Linked DNA regions of Rattus norvegicus. The protein of the gene in region 1 interacts with the protein of each later gene in a pairwise test. Links are inferred from orthologs where the notes say so. Each region holds a gene or a part of one and is shown in the gene's direction. Other genes may lie near its edges. The genes, in order: Fam161a, Zbtb8a and Cby2.

Evidence for each region.
Region 2: the proteins of Fam161a (region 1) and Zbtb8a interact in binary tests that used the Homo sapiens proteins (3 or more experiments, as listed by UniProt). The two-hybrid records come from large-scale screens. The link is inferred for Rattus norvegicus from reciprocal best matches to the Homo sapiens genes FAM161A and ZBTB8A.
Region 3: the proteins of Fam161a (region 1) and Cby2 interact in binary tests that used the Homo sapiens proteins (3 or more experiments, as listed by UniProt). The two-hybrid records come from large-scale screens. The link is inferred for Rattus norvegicus from reciprocal best matches to the Homo sapiens genes FAM161A and CBY2.

Annotation. Positions count from the first base shown.
Region 1 is NC_086032.1:101,220,617-101,224,353, forward strand, and holds the end of Fam161a (protein FAM161A), read left to right. Parts: coding exon 1-365; intron 366-731; coding exon of another isoform or gene 732-899; intron 900-2,862; coding exon 2,863-2,983; 3' UTR 2,984-3,165; downstream 3,166-3,737. UniProt on the Homo sapiens protein: Involved in ciliogenesis.
Region 2 is NC_086023.1:147,002,654-147,007,088, reverse strand, and holds the start of Zbtb8a (zinc finger and BTB domain-containing protein 8A), read left to right. Parts: upstream 1-1,543; 5' UTR 1,544-1,681; intron 1,682-4,435. UniProt on the Homo sapiens protein: May be involved in transcriptional regulation.
Region 3 is NC_086033.1:57,318,181-57,321,312, reverse strand, and holds the end of Cby2 (protein chibby homolog 2), read left to right. Parts: intron 1-1,136; coding exon 1,137-2,324; 3' UTR 2,325-2,493; downstream 2,494-3,132.

The DNA of each region.
Region 1 (3,737 bases):
TACAGAGCTTTCAGGGACCCCAGAAGTCCTGCAATGCCAAGGGGTAAACACAGGCATAGGCGCCTGAGCCCCAGTGACCAAGGCTTGGAGAAATGGAAGGAACCCTTCTCTGAACAGAGCTTTCGGAACTGCCCGGTGCTTTGTGACCAGTGTTGTCTTTACGAATCCTTATGTGACTCCAATAAAAGACAGAAAATCTTGGCAGACATCCGAATGGGTGAGGAAATTTTGAAAGAAACACGCAGGCCTAATCCTTCTCCTAGGCATAAATCCCCCAGAAGAAGCGCGCACGCCAGCGCCAGGCCTTGTGAATACAGCCCTCCGATGCCCACCGCGTCTTCCCGAGGGCGCGAGCAAGCCATCAGGTAAGGCACTGGGATGGGCGCTCCTGGTCACATGGTTGCTGAACTGGCATAGGAAGAAGCCCTGTGGGTTTTGGCTTGATAAATCTGAATTTACTAAATTATCTGCAAGGTATTGTATGACATGGTGGAGAACCGTTTGCTAAGAATGTTCTTCTAAGAAACAAATGTGATTTCTGTGTTTCCTTGGGGAAGGTAGAGAAACAGCATCAGTTTTACTCGGATTTCCAATGTCACAATTACGATTTTGGTCAAAAGGTGGCCTTTTTTTTTTTTTTTTCTGGCCTTTGAATTATCCCATGTTAAATCTTTGCCGGACAACTTCCTCCTTGGCTTAAAGTGAATTAAGCCTTAGTTTGTTGCCCTCAGGAAATCCCTTGAGGAAAAGAAAATGTTGGAAGAAGAGAGAAATCGGATCCTAACTAAACAGAAGCAAAGAATGAGAGACTTACAGAAACTCCTGGCAACCCGGGTTAAGGCTTACGGCTCACAGCAGAGCTTGTCTCAGCTAGTTAAATCCAGGGTAACCGATCTCAGGTACCACGGAGGAGCCTGGGGACTCCAACAGCAGCTGTCAAACTCCTTCCCTTCCCCCTTTCCTTTCCTTTCCTTTCCTTTCCTTTCCTTTCCTTTCCTTTCCTTTCCTCTCCTTTCCTTTCCTTTCCTTTCCATGTAACTATGGATACCTAGATATGAAAATACTATGGTATCTTAATTTATGGATTTAAATAATCTTTGGCTGTTTCTCCTCAATTGTTACACACATATATCCACACATACACATCTTATGATAACAGTCAGTGTATATGCTCACCTCCAGAGTGAGAACCATGAGACCATGTGGACCAGAAGCATTTTCTGTTATGGCCATAGTTAATAACTGCTTTAAGGGGTTGGGGATTTAGCTCAGTGGTAGAGCGCTTGCCTAGCAAGTGCAAGTCCCTGGGTTCGGTCCTCAGCTCCGAAAAAAAAAAAGAAAAAAGAAAAAAAATAACTGCTTTAAAACCAGCACAAAACCTTCTTATAAGTGTGTTCTTTTTTTTTTTTTTTTTTTTTTGAGCTGGGGACCGAACCCAGGGCCTTGCGCTTCCTAGGTAAGCGCTCTACCACTGAGCTAAATCCCCAGCCCCGAGTGTGTTCTTATTTATAAATCTTTTAAATATTTGTCATATATACATGCATGTGCATAATGCATTATATATACATATATACTCATTGTATATACATACATTGTATATCTGGTGCTGGGGATGTGAGGATCAAAGCCTGGACCTTGGACACTGATCTGGCCTTATTAGCCCAGAGAATATTTTTTTTTCAATTAACAAACAAGTCAGGGAGCTCTGTTTTAAGTTTGTACCAAATACAACGGTTTGAGTGGCTGCGTCCTGGGTACATGCTGCCCCTCATGACTGTTCCCTGTGAAAGCTAATAGCATCCACAGGACACCTACACTCCTCTGCAAAATATTACTAGAATTCTATAGCGCAGAGTTTGAAAACCAGCATTCCAAACATTGCACATAAAAATGGTCATGCTTATGCAAGAGAAGCTCTCCTCCAAAGCTGGGTAAGTAATATGACTTACTAGCCTCTAAGATCCAAATACATGTATCTGCTTTTAACACTGAGTATTTCTTACAGTGTGGTATTAGCCCACTAATACAGCCTAGTTTGATGAACTTGTGCAAAACATTCCTTTAGGAATACAGTGTTTACTTGTAGGAAGTTAATGCCAACTTACTCTGAGTAAGCGTAATTATAATTACTTATAATTACTTTCTGTACCCGGGATACTCTCTTGTCTCGGCTGCTTTTAGTATAGCTTACCCAGAGAAGCACAGTGCGGTGTAATTCCTTGTGGGGCCTGGTCCATAGAGGAAGACAGCAACATCCAGCATTTTGGCTTCTCTCTTCTGTTGCTAAATACTCATGAGCCCCACTGTCTCGCTTTCCTGCTCCCACTTAATTAATGTTGCCCGTTATGTGATCTCATTTAGGCAAAGAAGAAACGTGGGGTCTTTTTTTTTAAATTTTTTTGAGAAGGTTTCTCTGTGTATCCTGGGCTGCCCTAGAAATAGCTCTGTAGGCCAGGCTGGCCTGGAACTAGAAGATCTGCCTGCTTCTGCCTCAGAGTTTTGGGACTAAAAGCACTGCCCAGTTTCAGGGTCTTGTTTTTGAAAGGATATTTTTAAGGTAACTATTTGGACCAGACTTTCTTGCTTTTGCACATTTCTATATAAAACACTTTCCAGGCAAGTTTGAAGTCTTTTTGCCTTGACAACTTTTGAAATCCAAATGCCCAGACGATTCCTAGAACAGAACAATGTGTGCCTTCAAGGCCTGGCTTTTTATTCTGGACGTAGGAGAATTCTGTCAGTCTAGAAAAGGAACTGGCCCGAACTGTGCTCTCATTTCCTGATTTGACTTCTGAAGTGAATGTCCTAATAGAGCTTCCGTAGCTGACCTTTTAAAATGCCGTTCTCTTTATCTGATTCTAGAAGGAGCGAAAAGGCCAGGATGAAAGAATATTGGCAAGAATTGGAGGAGCAAGATAAAAAATTGCAAAAGAGGCCGATGCTGTTTGAAAGAGTCTCCCAGGTTGTGTTTATTGGAATTTAGGGCCGTTACCAGCGTCCTGTTTCAGGACCTCTGGCCTCCATGTGTGTACTCCATCTCGTTGTGTCCTACAGTTGCCAAGACATGCCGTTTCTGGGGCAGCTTCATCCAGTCCACCAAGGAAGTGATTTTGCTTAAGATCTGATGAGGCTCGCAGCTCAATAAAGAACACGTCGCCAACCCTATGAACCTCAGGTTCCTGCCACAGTTGCTTTAGTGTCTGGTCTTTTCAGTCAGCCCGGCTCTTATTCTGTTGAGGCTTCGGGATAGCATGGGGAGGTCTTTGATGAGTTCAACCATTTGGTGTATGGCCATCGTACGCAACATAGTGAGACCCTGTCTCTTACAAGAATTTTAAATTGCATATTTATTTGTTTGTTTGTTTGTTTGTTTGTTTATTTATTTATATTACTTGTGTGTGAGTGTTTTGTGTGGGCACCATGCACATTTACTGCCCACAGACATCAGAGGGTATTGGATACCTCGGAACTGGGGTTGTGAGCCACCATATGTTTGCTGAGAATTGAACCTAGACCCTCTGTAGAAATAAGTGCTCTTAACTACTGAGCCATCTCTCCAGGCCTAAAAACATTAAAAAAAAAAAAAAAAAAAAGCAGATCTCTCTGCTTCCCCATTCTCCGTAGCACATCTTGACCACAGCACCGCCATTCCTTCCCATGGCGGCCATCCACTCCCGGTTTTAGTAGCGATCTCAAGGGGTCTTATGATTAACCTCCCTGCCATCCAGCTGGGCATA
Region 2 (4,435 bases), on another chromosome or scaffold:
CAGAGTTTCACTATGTAGCTCTGGCTGTCCTGGAACTATGTAGACCAGGGTGGTCTTGAACTCAGCGCCTCCTGAGTTCTGGCATTAAAGGTGTGTGCCACAGCACCTGGTGTCCTAATGATTTTCAAACAAGCTTCCTTCTGTCTTTCCTTCCGTGAGGAAACACATCTAATCACAGAGCACCTGGGGAGTAAACAGGTGTGACATTAGGAAATTGGTCTCTAACCTGGGACAAATAGCTGGGGTGCCTATTTAACATGACAAAGGGGACCTGGTCCGCCAGGTCCTCCCTGCATCCCTCAATCCATACCTGTTACAGGGCCCTCTTGACTGGTTTATCCTGCCCCCTAGTTTGAATTCTCCTGCCCAGGGGGCTGGGCTACTCTTCCTTATATAATCTAAGCATTTTGGCTACCCGCCCTCTTTGTAATTTTGGGTCCCCTGACTGCTGTACCTGGTTATGCTGCTCTCTCTTCTCCCTTCCCGCACCTCCTTTCTTCTCACAGGGCACAGCTCAGTCTGCTCCTGTCCACACTGTGCTCTCCCAGATGTCCCTGCCTCTGGCTATGCTCTCTCACATTCTAAAATCAACTTTCTCCTCCGCTATACCTAGGACCCGTCTTGTTCCTTTGCTTTCTATTTCTTCCTTCCGTCCTTTCTTTTCTTTCTTTTTCATTCAGAACTGAATGGATGTATTGATTCTCAATGATGTTCGAATGCATAGCTACTTGGGAAATCAGAAACCCTGGTGGGTATGACTTCAGGGATAGCTTCAAAATATTAAACGTATGCTTTGAAATTTTGAGTCCCCCCCTCCAATTTGGCAGGCAGTACTTGACAATCAGCATGAAGGAGTAGGAAACTAGTTTGTGGAATTTAAACAGTGTAAAAGTTCAGCAGTTTACTATTTTAGGAAATGTATTACCTGATATTTGTGTGCTCTGGATTAGGGTGACATCAGAAGAGAAACTTGGTTTACGACCAGTTTTTATATTTGAAAACAGAAAACCTGTTTTATTTTTATATCAAGAATCACGTTCTCTTATCTCAGCCCCTCGGGGCTTGCCTCTTCTAATGGTCTGATGGGGAACTACAGAGGTTTCTAAAAGGCTATGACTGCCTGGAATTAAGTGCTTTGACAAAGGGAAATTTTGTGGAAATCTCTCCCATTTTACGTCGTTAAACTTAAGCACAATAATGTCACAAGTACTTATACAGTAATTGTGGGCACGCCTAAGTCCCTCCCTCTCTCCTTGAACCAATATCCCCACATCTTAGAGATCCAGCCCTTCTGCCCTCCGGAGGCGCCTTTTCCAACGTAAAGTACAATTTTAAATTTTAAGCTCCCCACTAAAAGAATGATCCGCAGCCAACTGCTGGGGAACCTGGGCGCCCCAGAGCCTGCGGAGGGTGCAGTCGGGTGTGGGCACGGACAGGGGGAGTGGGCGAAGCTGCTGGTTGGTGCCTGAAATCTGTGCGTTGCCCCTTTAATTGTGTCCTCAGCCCTCGGGCGTTTCTGTCCAACGCCCACGTCAGCAAATACCTTTTGTTTCTCTCACGTTGGGGCTACTTGTTTTAGGGCGCAAAGCCTCGGCTTTGGAACAGGGTGCTTCCCCTACCAGGAACCGGGAATCGCTCCGCAGCGCGCGCGAGCGAGCAAGCGAGCAGCCAGAGCCCCGCGGTAAGTGGCTGCGCGGGCACGGGCGCGAGCGGGTGGAGGGCGGCCGGGGCGTCGGGGCTGCGGGCCGGGCCGAGAGCCTGGCGGAGGGCGGCGGGGCCGCCGGGGTGCGCCCCGGGGCTGCAGCCCTGGCCGGTGCGCCGGGCGGCCGGGCGCCATTTGCAGCGGAGGGCGCAGAGCCGCGGCTCCGAGGGCCGGCGACGGCCACAAAGGAGGCGCGGGCGGCGGCGGCGGCCCCGGGCGCGGCTGCGGGACAATGGCTGCACCGTCGCCGCCCGCGCCCGCCCCGCCGCCGGGCTTCCAGCCCCGGCCCGGCCCCGGGAAAGGCGGGAAGGCGCCGGTGAGGCGGCGCCACGGGGCCGGGCGTGTCTGCAGCCGTCGGACGCGGGACGCGGGGCGCGGGGCGCTGCAGCCCGGCGTTCTCACTCCGCCCTCCACCCTCTGGCTTTCCATCACGACGCGACAGTTCCGGGCTTAGAACCGAGGGCAGAAATATGGAGCCCCAGCTGGCTCCCGGCAAAATGTCCCTGGCATCTCCCACCGGGCGACCTGTCTGGCTTGGTCCCTTCGCGCTCTGGCGCGCTTACTCGCCCTTGACCGTGCGGTTAGCCATAATCCACGTCTTTCCGAGACGTGTTTGGAATAGGATTCACACCTAGCGGGCACCCAACCGCACACGCCGCCAACACCTACAACTCTTTATATTCGCAGAACTTTAGCAAATGGAGTGGTTTCACTTTGACGAAATAGAGCACTTAATTTCTTATGGGATGGCTACCGGTTCAGTCGTTTAGTCTACCTAGCAAAGGAAAAAAAACAAAAACAAAAACAAAACAAACCCGCTAACCATGGAGTCTCATCCCTAGGCAGGGAACTGAGAGGGGGGTACCCCCGCACCCCTAAGGCGCCCTGTTCTTGCAGCGTCCTGGAGCAGTCTTCAAAGAACTAAAAACCTTCGCTGATTTTATCACTTAGATCGCGCTTCTATTTACCTATTTATTCTTTGTTTTAAAGCGGACTCAGGCTAGATTTGAAATTCTGATCTTCTTACCTCCGTGGGAGTGCTGGGATGCACTAGACAAATTTCTGTCTTCAATGGCATAATTATATATTTTGTAATGTTCAAAGAGGTTAATATAAGTTTTTAAAATATCTCTTTTTTTCTTTTTCATTTTTTTTTTTTTTTTTTTGGTTCTTTTTTTTGGAGCTGGGGACCGAACCCAGGGCCTTGCGCTTCCTAGGCAAGCGCTCTACCACTGAGCTAAATCCCCAACCCCTTTCTTTTTCATTTTTTACGATATATATTTCCTTTTGGAGACAGGGTGACAGGGTTCCGTGTAGCCCAGGCTAGACCTAAATCTGTAGTTTATGATGACCTTGGACCTCTGATTCTCTTGTAGCCCCCTGCTAAATGCAGGGTTTACAGGCGTGGGCCACCGAACCTGGTGTTATCCTGTATTCCAACCGAACCCAAGGCTTTATGCATGTTACGTAGGCACTTTACCACCAAACCATATGCCCAGCCCTCTCAAAACCTTAAATGGCTCCTTTATGTCTTCCCAAAAAAATATACACAGGCCCCATGGTGTGTGCATGCGGCCTGCGTGCGCATGCGTGCATGCGTTTGTGCATCCCAACGCGCGCGCGCGTGCGCGTGCGCGTTTGTATTTTGAACCCAGGGCCTTGCATGTGCTAGGCAAATGTTATCGTTGAGATACACCCCCAAGCCCTTATATTTTAAATTTTAATTTCATTATGAGATGAGGGTTTTGCTTGGGCTGACTTGGTCTTACTTCTTCCCGCCTCAGCCTCCCAAGACCCTGGGGTTTAGGGGGCATTACCCACATACCACACAGTGGCCTGCTCTCCCCACCCATCCCTTCTCCATCTTCCGTTCCTGTTCGCCTCATGGCCTTTGCACCTGCTGTCAGTTTGCCTGGAGTAGGTACTTTCCTACTATGGGCATCAGTCCTCTCAGCGAGGCCTTCCAACCATAGTTCAAAACTCAAGTCTCTATTTTTTTTTTCTTAAGATTTATATGTGTGTGTGTGTGTGTGTGTGTGTGTGTGTGTTTTGCCTGCCTGTGTACTAAGTGGATGCCTGGTGTCAGATAAGGGTGGTGGATCCCCCTGGATGGGAGTTACAGATGACTGTGAGCCTCCATGTGGGTGTGGGGGATCGAACCTAGATCCTTGGAGAAACAGCCAGTGCTCTTAACTGCTAAGCCATGCCTCCAGCCTCCCTAAGGGTTCTAACATTTAATCCTAAAACTTTCCTATCTTGGACCCTGTAGCCCATATGTGCTACTAAGATAATCAAAGAAAGAACAGTCGATGTTGCCTACCTTTAATCCTAGCAGAGGCAGGCGGATGTCACTGATTTGGAAGCCAGCCTGGTCAACAGATCAACCAAAGAACAGGTATTTACTTCTTACACCTGTAAATGCCGGGAAGTTCCAGATTATGGTCCCCTGACTGGCAGCTGCTTTCTGCTTCCGGGATGGCACCTCCTCACCACATACATAATGAGGGTAAATACAGTCTGTGTCTTCATTAGTAAAAAGGATAAGAAGGGATAAGGCCAGGAGCAGACCTACTCCTCAAACCCCTTTTGAAGGATGTTAATCCCGCCCTGAGGGCAGTGCCCCTCCCCCCCCACGGCGGCCTAATAACCCCCTAAAAGCTCCTGGTCATACTCCTCCTCTGCGAATGAACTTTCAGCATGAACTTTGGAGGACACACAGCTTTCTAAAGCAAA
Region 3 (3,132 bases), on another chromosome or scaffold:
ATTTCGCTTGCCAGCGCTATGAGGATTAAGTGAATTATACAGGTAAAATGCGGCCACATAACCAGCTGGACTTCCTGCAAATGCCTGTAACATCGACTCTGAGAAATCTGATGCCTTCTTCAAGGTGGTGCAGTTATCCCAGGTTAACACTGTAGAAACTGGAATTCACACAACTTGCCCAGATTCATATAACTGATAAGTGGTAAGGCCAGAGGTTAAGAAAAAAAAAAAAACAAGTACCTTTCATTTCTGCCACATGATTGGGTCTTATTATGTGTGACTTTTCCTTTTTTGAGACAGGGTCTTGTTTTATGCAGTCCTGGTCGGGACTTGCTATAGAAAGCATCCAGTATGGTCTGGAAGTTCTGCTTATATTCCTTTCTACACTGTCTCTGAGTATCTGGGGTTATAGGCCTGCCCAGTGCACGGTTAATTATTTATAGGTTTTATAGTTATGACTGAATGTATGGACCTTTTGACTACACCAGCTTTAGTGCTCATAGAGTATTTGTGGTCTCTCTAGGATCTACAGAGTTTGTATGTGGGTATGCGGCCAAGAACTGTGGTTCGGGTGCTCCCCCTTGTTTGAACACTCATCCTGGCAAAGGGTCTTGTTTTCAGTTTATAAGCCAGCTTGGTTTTGAAACTTTTGTGCTCCTTGTTGGCTTCACCGTTTAAAGTGGCATCTACAGATACAGTTAAAGACTCTTCTTTTTTTTTTTTTTTTTTGGTTCTTTTTTTTCGGAGCTGGGGACCGAATAAAGACTCTTCTTAATAACCACGGTCTGTGCTGTGCCCCGAAGAGCGAGCTTGTCAGATAAACTCTGCTCATGGTATATGATGCACCCACTGTCAGTCTGCGTATCCATGACAGTGTCTTTAAACAGAAGCACGGTGTTCTATCTGGTCAGTCGACAGAAATTTTATGATGAAACTGCCCCATTTTTCCCCCTAGGAACCATGGTTCCGTGATCATTAATTCAGAAGAATGCTACCCAGAATAGCAAAGGCTGGGTATATTTCCTTGTGAAGATCCCTGGAGGTCATATGAGGGGGTCTCCAGGCCTCTTAGTCCACCCTGAGCAGTCCTCTTAACAGTTTCTCCATTAACAGCTTCCCTGCTTTTCCTCCCACAGAGGGGCACGGAGCCCTTCCTGAGGCTCCACAACCTATACACCACTCCTCGCTGCTCCAGGCAGGCTGCCATGCCCCGGATAAGCCGCAGGGTAGCCAGCCAGCACTCCTACCCACTCAACCGCTTCTCCTCTATGCCCTTTGACCCCATGGAGCGCCCCACCTCCCAGGCCGACCTGGAACTAGACTACAACCCTCCCCGAGTGCAGCTTAGCGACGAGATGTTTGTCTTCCAAGATGGGCGTTGGGTGAACGAGAGCTGCCGCCTGCAGTCACCTTACTTCTCTCCCTCCTCCTCCTTCCACCATAAACTGCACCACAAGAGGATGGCCAAGGAGTACCTGCTGCAGGAAGAGAACAAGTCTCTTCGGGATGAGAACAGGGCTCTGAGGGATGAGAACAAGGCCCTCCGCAAGGAGAACAAGATTCTACAGGTCTTTTGGGAAGAGCACAAGGTCACTTTGGGCCACGAGGAGAGTCAGACCTCCTCGCCACTGCTGCACAAAGACACAACCTCCCAGGAAGTAGTGAAGAAAGACAACGCCACTTTGCCTGCCCAGCGTAGCAAGGAGAACACCCTACAGTTCATTCGAGAGGAGAACCGGGCCCTCCAGCAGTTGCTGGAGCAGAGGCAGGCCTACTGGGCACAGGCAGAAGAGAGTGCGACTTCTGCTGAGGAGGGCAAGCCCACCTCCTCACCCAAGGAGGAACCCCATAATTCAGGGCTTCTGCCAGATCAGAGCACAAGCCACTCCTCCCACTTTGAGGAGCCCAAAGCGTCCCCTACAACACAGGAGGACTCGAAGACGCTGCGCGCCCTGAGGGAGATGGTTACCAACTTGTCCGGGCCATCTGGGGAAGAAGAGGGCAAGGCAGGCCCTAATCTAACTGACAGCGCTCAGCCCCTGCAGCTGCTGAGAGAGATGAATCAGGCACTGCAGGCCCTGAGGGAGGAGAACCGGCTGCTGCAGGAGGAGAACAGGGCTCTCCACGCCATGCGTGAGGAGCATCGCGTCTTCCAGGAGGAGAACAAGGCCCTGTGGGAGAACAACAAGCTGAAGCTGCAGCAGCGGCTGGTCATCGACACGGTGACTGAGGTCACAGCTCGTATGGAGATGCTTATTGAGGAGTTGTATGCCTTCATGCCGGCCAAGAACAACAAAGATCCCAAAAAGCCCAGCAGGGTCTGAGGCCTCGGCAGTGGACATAGACGCCAAGACCAGGCCGGAGAGAATCCTCAACCTTCCTTTGTCTTCCTTGTGTTGGCCCAGCAGTGCGTGCCTGTGGGACAGCGGAGAAAGGGCCATCATCCACCCGAGACACAATAAAGGCAGAGGAGGCTGGGGCCAGCCAACACCACCGTGGAGTTATGGCTTCTCCTTCTCCTTCCTTCTTGCTCTTTTAACGTCTTACCTCTTTCCCTCTGTCCCTCCTCCTCCTCCCCCTCCTCCTGCCCCTCCTCCTTCATTAACTATCTCATTAACATGTCCCCCTCTCTCTTCTTTCAGCCCCTGTACCTTCTCTCCCCTTCTTCAGTCTTAACTGGCTATCATGGTACATTTCTGTACTCTTTTAAGACTCAGGAGGCTGAGGCAGGAGGATTGTGAACTTAAGGCTTATCTAGGCTACATAGTAAAAAAAAAATGGCTTTGCAAAATGCAAGGGGTTAGGAGATGGGGCACAGGCCACAGACCGACAGGCCGACTTTTTTTAGAATGACATTGAGCTGAAAGCCAGAGTTCCTGTAGACCGCTGCCCATCAATACCCCCTACCAAAATCTACAAAAATTGGGGAATCCACATGGACTTGTCATTAGCACATGAAGTCCCTAGTTAGGATCCTCGGGTTACATTCTTTAGGAAATGAGCCAAGAACCATAACCCACTCCTCTCCTGACGTCTTTGCATGTTGACTGTGACACTCAGGATCCTTAGAATCCATGTGATGGGCTCTACCATCTCTAACTGACATGGGAGCAGGAACTCCAAGCCATTTAC